Callithrix jacchus: one gene and its partner. Each later gene encodes a partner of the first gene's protein in a complex. Links are inferred from orthologs where the notes say so. Each region holds a gene or a part of one and is shown in the gene's direction. Other genes may lie near its edges.

Region 1 (4,303 bases):
TTCTTTCCCTGTCGGGGTGACGGTGAAGCCCAGAGGCCAAGACTGGGAGGAGGGTTCATCCATATTCTCTAGCTCTTAACACTGCCCAGAGGTGGGCCACCCTGCCTACCCATCAGCCTCCCCCTGCCCCTCTGCCAAATCTGGACGTAATTATAGTAATTATGCTGCATATAAACAGTATAGGTAACTGCTTCTGGACATAATTACAGGAGATGTTTGCATACCGACAACAGCATCAGAGTAAATGATAGCTTCCTTTTCCCTTAATACTCAGATATCAGGGACCTATTAGGGCTAATTAGCCAAATCTCAGTAGTGAGGGTGTAGGAAAAACCTTACAATTTCCCACTACCTGCAAAGCAGGAAGGCACCTCAGACAAAGCAGGGTCCCAGCCAAGATTTCACAGGACATCAAGAAGCCTGCAGAGGAGTGAGCTAACATCTGCTGGGCACCTACTGTATGCAGGTACTCAGGGGAGGTCAGCAAACACAAGCGAGTTCTTTCAACCTATGAACAATTCTGCAGGCTGATATTAGTGTATCCTCACTTTACAGGTCTGGACATGGGTTCTCAGAAGCTTGGTGTACAGGGTCACCCGCAGCAGGCCACGGCGCTGGGCATGGACGCTTTCCACCGTGCTACCCAGCGGGAGCAGCAGGCCAGCTCTGCTTTCTTCCTTTCTCGCCTCTTCTCACTTCTCGAAGCTTCCTCTTTCCGGGTGGCCTCCTGCAGCCCCTGCTAACCTCTGGTCTCTGCTCAATTCCCCAGCGTCAAGGCCGTCTACTGCCCCCTCCACCCCTTCTTCCTGTCCCCTAGGGTGGTTCGGTGTTACCTCTCCAGATGAAGGGGGTGGGGTTGGGTGAGGTGGGATGGGATAGGGAAGGGTGGAGCACAGGGCAAAGGCCTTGCCAGACATCCTGGGGTCTTCTGCTAAGCTAGGGGAGGCAGGGAGCTCGGCCTCGGGGTCGCCAAACCCTCGGGTTCCAATCACCCGCACACACAAAGGCTGCCCCGGCATGCGCGGGAGAGCGCGCTCGCACCCACGGCCGTGCGCACACACGCACAATTGCACAAAGACGTGCACACTCCTCCATCCACACCAATACACTCCCTAACAGGGCTCGCACACAGCCGTGAGCCATCACGTACACCAAACCACCACCACACACACACACACACACGCACACACACACACAGGCTCACACACACACGCGCGCGCGCGCACACACACACACACACACACAGGCTCACACACGGACGCACACCCGGGGGGACACCCCCAAACGCGAACCTTGGGGCCCTGACGCGTCCAGCCGCACTGCCCTGGCTCGCTGGGCGGTGCGCGCACACGCAGACTCGCACACACAGACACACACGCACACACCCCGCGTGGTTCCACGCCCCTGGCAGCGGCCCGGGCTCTGCGCGGCTCCGCGCGGCAGGCGGCGGGCGGGGACCGGGGGCGGGAACGGCGGCAGCGGCGGCGGCCGGGAGAACGGAGGAGGCGGAGCAGGGAGCCGGGAGCGGGCTGGCCCGCGCTCCTCCTGCTGGCCGGGGATTTTCCAGCCTGGGCGCTGACGCCACGGACCTCTCTGCGACCGTCGCGGACCATGGGCGACAAAGGGACACGGTGAGTGCAGGGTGGCCGCCGGGCGCGGGGCGCGTGGGGGCGACCTCGGCGAGGGCATGGGCGGGGGCTCCGATTGCGTCCTGGTTCTACGTTCAGGGCCACCCTGGGATCACGTACCGGTTCTCCTCCACCCGAGGTCTCCTGTGTGGTCTCCGGCAGGGCCGTGGGCGGTGGAGACTAAAGGGCAAGGGCTGGGCCGCCCCATGTGGGCCGCGGCTCCTGGCCCGGACACACTCGCAGCTCGCTGACACCCAGCACTGGCCAGCAGGCGCAGAGACGCACGGAGGCAGACTGACACACAATACACGCACGGACCCACTAACCCGTGGCACATGCATGCTGGTGCACACACTGGCAGCCGCTGGCACACGCTCATCACGCAGTGGCACACCGTCACACACGCCTCAGTCAACACTTTCTTGCTGACAGCCTTGTTGGCATGCACAGGTCACACTCCAACACACACCAGTTCTAACACACCCTAGTGCTGGTATACACGTGTGGGCATACACTGATATGCACACTGTCACCTGCACTCGCTGTAGCAAACACCCTTGCTGGCACACATATCACTCTCACTGGCACACACACTTGTGCTGCTGGCAGGTCTCACCACAGCGGAGCGCAAAGCCACACCAACACTGACCCCCACAGACACAATCAGACTGATGCCTGCAAAGACTGGCACCCTACAGGCACAAGCTGCCAGCTCCGAGGCCCGCTGACACACATGCTCCAGGCCCCACATGGCCAGAAGTGGAAATACACACATCACACAGGGTAGAGCACTCCCCACCACCCCCAGCCTTGGGAAAACAGATCCCATCCCATCCAGATCCCATCCATACCCTCTGCTCCCTTTTCTCTGACCTCCTGAGGAGTGGCTGGCCAGGAGCTCTTTTGAACCTAGGGCTGGGAGAGCCCCTCTGTTCTCCTGAAACCTGGCCTGAAAGACTCAGAAAGAGGCAGTCTATGCCTCTGAAAGGGGAAACTGGGATAAAAGGGGAAGAGGCTAGAGCAGGGCAGCCCCTGGGGGCAGCCCTTCAGATAGGACCAGCACTCCTCAGGGGCTCAGCATTGTCACCCAGTTTTCCCCGTTGCCCTCCCTATCCACTAAGTCTGCACATAGCCTCTCCCTGGGGTCCCCGTCTTACCCCCTTTCCATCCCTCTTTCTCATTGTTTTCTGTCTTCCTCCCCTCCTATCCTTGTGTCCACCTTCTCCCTCCTCCCTTCCCTCCCCTCTCCTTGTTTCCATTTATTTATTGAGCTCTTGCTGTATACTAGGCATATTGTGGGGGATCAAAGATGTGCAAGGCCCCTTCCTCCCCTGAAGGAACTAACAAACTAGAGAGACCACCCCAGAGGGCACCACCTTTCAGGGCCACTGCCATCTAAGGCTCTCTCTCAACAGCATGAGAAAGGGCTTCCAGAGATTATTTCCATTTTCTAGAGGAAGAAACTAAGTCTCCGAAGCAACTCAAGCTCTTAATGTTTAGAAACTACTTTCCAACCATCCTCCTGACAGCTCTTCCAGGAGGTTAATTTTCCTTTTCCTGTTTTCTAGCAGAGGAACCAGAGGGTTAGAGTTGTCATGTGATTTGCTTAAGGTCAAGATGGGTTAGAGGCAGGGCAGAGGCTGGAGTCCACTTGGTCATGTCTCTGTGGATGGCCCTAGGGCACTGCCAGGCCCCTCATGTGCCAGGGAGGGGTGCTCTGCTCTGTGCTGGAGGCCCAGGCCTTTGAGGGAGACTGCAGAAGATCATGGTGTCTCTGAATGCACCTCGATGGCTAGTCCCCATTGCAGCTGGCTGGCCAGCACTGTTACCTAGGCCTCTGTCCGCAGGAGGAAGATGTGTGACTCCCTCCCCAGCCGCATCCATCTGCCCCGAAATTAAGACTCTCTTGACCCATGAGGTCGGGCTTTTCTTCCTGCAGGGCATGGCAGGGAGTCTGAGCCATTCTCCCCTCCCGTGTCCTTCCTGGGCTGCCTTGTGATCAGGGTGACTCAGCCTCTCTTGGGTCTCTCTGTATCTCCCTGTGACTTGGGGGGATAAGTGTCATTGCTGTCCTGCTGACATGGATTGTCAGAAAGATGAGGACACCATGGGCTTCCAGGCACCTGCTGGAGACCCTGTCTCCGAGGCCAGGGTATTTTCCATGACTCCCCCTGCCCTGTCTTGAACCCACTGGTGGACCTTTGGGACATTGGGCAATTGCCTTTGCCTTTCCAGACCTTAGTTTCCCATTTGTAAGTTGAAGCTATATCAATACTTCCATTTTAGGGCTCCCCTTGTATACTTACTGACTTTGCTGGGCAGGGATAGAGGCACTGCCTGAAGCCTAGAGCCAAGGCCTGGCTAAACCCACCTGATGGTGGCCCTGACCTCCCCCTCAGACTCTCCTGCAGTCCTATGAGGACTTTCTTTCCCTTTTCAGACAGTTTGCCAAGTAATTTGGAAGAGAAGGGCAAAATCAGGAATGGGCTGTACCCTGTTTTTTTTTTTGTAAGCCATGAGATTCTACTTTATCTATGACTAAGAAAAGGAATCTGCAGATATCTAAAACTGAACATCAGGAACTATCGAATCCATCCCTCCATCTGGAATTGCACCCCCATATGAAAGTGATAATGAAAATTTTCATTTAGTTATTTATTTTTTTTAAAGACAAG
Region 2 (4,101 bases), on another chromosome or scaffold:
TTACCTTTAGGATTTTATCTGTAGTGTGCAGCCTATTAAAGCTATTTCCGTGTGCCTTTTTCTCTTTTGTGCCTACGTCATCGATTTCCTATTTATTTATTTAATTTTAAGAAGAAAGAAGAGGTTCTGTAGGAAACATTGACTGTATCTGACAACCATAATAGGACTAGAGAAGGACTAATGAGGAGGTGGGGGGGTTAGCTTTAAGAAGGCGAGGTGGTAGCATAGAAGGATAAAAAGAAAGATAATTGAGCACTCCGCTATAATCTTATTCCACCCAAGAAATTTGGGAGAATGCGAAAAAGCAGCAGCCCAGCATTCCTGGATGGGCGTGGCTTCTCTCCAGGGGCTGTCCAATCGAATTCCTTCAGAGGGACAAGATTGATACGGGTTGCTAGGAAACAGGAGCGTCTCCCTCCTGCCTGACCCAGAGATTGTTCTGCACAAACCCTCTCCAGCGGCTCGCAGAGTGCAGTAGAGTTGCGAGTAGGGCTGAGCTGCGCACCGGCTTCCCTGGCTCTCACGCTCCCTCTCTGCTCCTGCTCTCCGGGTCTCCTCCCGCCTGTGGTCAGCCCCCTGCGCAGGGACCACAGGAGAGTTCCCCGGACAGTTAGTCCCTCCTCACCCGAAAGCCAAGAGCTCTAGCAGGGCTTCAAAGTTGGAGCCGCCACCCTCCCTACCGCCCCATGCCCCTTCACCCCACTCCGAAATTCGCTGGCCTTTGCATGCACTGCCTAAGGATTTCAGAGTGAGGCAAAGGAGTCAGCAAAGCCACCCCGCCTTTGCGTATAATAATCCTCTCGTCTAGGTACCCTGGTTCACTGAAGACTCTGCAGATACACCCCTATAAAAGGAGAGAGGGTGGGGGAGGGGGACAGGGAAAAGAAGAACGTGACAGGGAAGAAAGAATGAAAAGGAGAGGATGCCAGGAGGTCCGTGCTTCTGCCCAGACTCCCAATTAGAGGCAATGGTTTCAGCTTGGTCAAGGTGAAGGAAAGTTGCTTCCACGCCTAGGAAGTGGGTTTGCCTGATAAGAGGAGGAGGAGGGGACTCGGCTGGGAAGTGCTCCCCTCCCCTCCACGGAAGACCACTGGGTCCCCCCTTTCCCCAACCTCCTCCCTCTCTTCTACTCCACCCTCCGTTTTCCCACTCCCCACTGACTCGGAGGCCTGGATGCTCTGCCACCGGGCAGTGGTCCAGCGTGCCGCCAGGAGGGGGCGGGGGCAGGGGGCACTGTGACAGGAAGCTGCGCGCACAAGTTGGCCATTTCGAGGGCAAAATAAGTTCTCCCTTGGATTTGGAAAGGACAAAGCCAGCAAGCTACCTCTTTTGTGTCGGATGAGGAGGACCCACCATGAGCCAGAGCCCGGGTACAGGCTCACCGCCGTCGCTGCCACCACGGTCAGCTCCAGTTCCTACCAGGAGTTGTCGGTGCGAGGTAAGGGGGGCCCAGAGGAGGACGCGTCCCTCTGGAGGGCGCCCAGCCTGGGCGCAGAAGCTCGGGTGCGCGTGGGGCAGGCGCAGCCAGGAAAGTTGAGGCAGAGCGTGGACCAGTCCCCACAGTACTGCCTGGAGTGGGACGGGTGGAGGGCAGAGGCGATGTGGGTGTGCGTGAGTGAGAGTTTGTGTGTGTGCGCCCACGTCTGTGTCTGGGAGGAGGGAGATTTCAGGGCACAGATCTACAGCCAGGGTGCGAGAGGTGGAGGGACCAACTAGCCCTCACAGACCATCAAAGAGACCAGTCTCAGCAGCCAACTACCTCCATCTCAGCTCTGGGCTCAGATTTTGTTTCTATTTGGGGGCTCCCTAAGGTTTTGTGCACAGGAATCCGCGCGATGACTGGCTGACATACTGGCGGTTTCTTGTGGGTGTGGAGGTTGCCGGCAGAGGTGGGCAACGGTCAGCGGGACCTGGTCCACACAGTCTGGATAAGCTCTGAAGCCGGAGGCGGCCAGAGGTTTGCCCTCCCGCAAGCACGCTTGGAAAGGAACCTTAACTAGCTGCCCTTTACTCCTTTTGGCTTGAGTGAAAAATCGAAAAGCCAGACAGGGAGCATATCTTTTCATCGACCCTGTTCCATTTTCTTATCTGACAGTGAGATAACTCGGAGAGGGCGGGAGATTTGCGATCCAAAAATAGACTAGGTGATATATCCAATAAGCTTGTTTCTTAAGAATTTCATTAAATTTTCTTCTAGTTATTCCTGGGGTCAACAAAGGTGGACGATTCTCTAAGGTATAACACTTTTAGGTAAATATATTAAGGCAGCATCTCCCACTTTATTTTAGATATTGTAAATTCTGCAAATAAAGCTGTACACCTCTAAAGATCGGGGTGGTTAAGGGCTCAACTAATTTGCTTATAAATATTTCTACTATTACTTGAATAGTAGTAGATATGTTTGGGGTCTATATGTAGATACATATTGGAATATTCAAAGTTGAGGTTAATGTGAGTTGACATAGATGTGAGCTAAGTATGAACAATAGTTCCTTAGAGTTTCTTTGCTTGAATTTCTTAGAACTGTTCAACAGAGCTACAGTATGTTTCTTTGTGATGGGTGGAGGGGAGTTTGTGGGGGTGAAGTCTACTTTGGTTTATCTGATCACACATTTTAAGATTCCTCTCTGAGCTCTAATTGTTTGGAGGAGCATATTTAATATAGGCTAAAATGATCTAGATTGGCATTATGCTAAACTACCAATAACAGTTCCTACCAAAGATGTTTAGGACACTCCAATGAATAATTATGATTTTATATTCCTATTTACCTTGTTCCTAAAAGCAGCCCAATAGAATATGAATATATTTGGAAGTTATTGTACACCAGAAATGACTGTAATATTTTTCCTTTCATAATGGGTAGTGATTTATATCTACAAAGATTTCTCACACCTGTCCATCCTATTGGATTCTGATCACCAAGCAGGAACATATAGATACTTTGAATAAACATGCTGAAAGGTTATCTTATGTTCAGAGTAACGCAGGAGCTCATGATGGAAAATGAGGAACAGAAGTCTTGAAACCTACAATTTCAGAAATAAAACAGTGAAATTCCAGAATACTTACCTTTATTAGCTGAAGAAGAATATGGCAACTATATCTCTTAGCATTGAAACCCCTCCTGCCCCTAGATACTATATATCTAGATATAAAACTGTAGTTTTATGAGTTAGGCCATTACCAATGAAGTGTGAAACCTAAATCATAGAAAATTATGCTGGCACAATGAATAGGCCACACTTCAGAGCTTGAAGGAAATGAGCACCTTTCTATTTATTTAAATTGAATGGTATTTTTCAAACTTCAGAAATATATGATTAGTAATGAGAAAATGTGTGAAAAACCACACACAAAAAAAATATTATAAATGCTTAAAATATACTCTGTGACCCACTCTATTTGGTATAATGGGCTTTTAAAAAAATTGTGGTATACATATGAAAACAAGTGAGTATAAATCAGATGATTTATCCCACAATTACACATATCAAATGATGAGCTTATCTTTGATTTTATGTCACTTCAATTAAAATTGGTAAGTTCAACAAACATAAATCTAACAAAAAAGTGATCATTATCTTTAAGTGGAAATTAATATTTGTATTGAAGAAAATAACTGGGATAATTGTCAAAAGGTCACCTGCTTCACTTCTCTACTTTATGACAGGTAATAGCTGGAATAACATAATTGAAGAGATGGGTCTTATTTTGAAAGATTCTCAGCAATAACATTTTACAACTTCCCTGGGTACATCATCCTCATTTTTATTTCGTGTCAAACTATCTTTTTTTCCAAATAAAACTGTTGTCTCTCTTGTCCATTCTTTTAATAGTGATCAGTCACAAAACGAAGCATAATCTTTTTCCAGGATACTAGCTACCTCCTGCCAAAATGTAGCACATTGGCTTAGGGATGAATTTTCCACTTGTTTTCCAGCACTAAACATCATCCCAACATTTCACTAAACAAAAGAAATGAAAATTAATACCTAATCACTATCATGAAACAAGGAGGGCAGGATTCATTTACGCACATTGGAATGTGGCCAAAGTTCCAGCGTGAGATTTGTTTCTCCAGGAGTAATTCTCAAAAAA

Evidence for each region. Proteins that work in one complex are often made in the same cells at the same time.
Region 2: the proteins of ARRB1 (region 1) and GRM3 are in contact, whole or in part, in a cryo-EM structure (PDB 9II2), measured with the Homo sapiens proteins. The link is inferred for Callithrix jacchus from reciprocal best matches to the Homo sapiens genes ARRB1 and GRM3. Residues at the interface, in NP_004032.2 of Homo sapiens: Gly5, Thr6, Arg7, Val8, Phe9, Lys10, Lys11, Ala12, Ser13, Pro14, Tyr21, Arg25, Arg65, Glu66, Asp67, Leu71, Gly72, Leu73, Thr74, Phe75, Arg76, Lys77, Arg103, Leu104, Lys107, Pro133, Arg236, Phe244, Asn245, Thr246; in NP_000831.2 of Homo sapiens: Pro605, Lys608, Ala609, Ile669, Phe670, Asp671, Gly672, Val673, Lys674, Asn675, Ala677, Gln678, Arg679, Lys681, Phe682, Ser684, Cys761, Pro762, Glu763, Phe765, Val834, Val835, Thr836, His837, Gln855, Ser856, Ser857, Ala858, Ser859, Thr860.

The regions. Positions count from the first base shown.
Region 1 is NC_133511.1:65,597,429-65,601,731, forward strand, and holds the start of ARRB1 (beta-arrestin-1), read left to right. Parts: upstream 1-1,498; 5' UTR 1,499-1,611; coding exon 1,612-1,631; intron 1,632-4,303. UniProt on the Homo sapiens protein: Functions in regulating agonist-mediated G-protein coupled receptor (GPCR) signaling by mediating both receptor desensitization and resensitization processes.
Region 2 is NC_133512.1:63,164,233-63,168,333, reverse strand, and holds the start of GRM3 (metabotropic glutamate receptor 3), read left to right. Parts: upstream 1-1,293; 5' UTR 1,294-1,354; coding exon of another isoform or gene 1,355-1,438; intron 1,439-4,101. UniProt on the Homo sapiens protein: G-protein coupled receptor for glutamate. Ligand binding causes a conformation change that triggers signaling via guanine nucleotide-binding proteins (G proteins) and modulates the activity of down-stream effectors.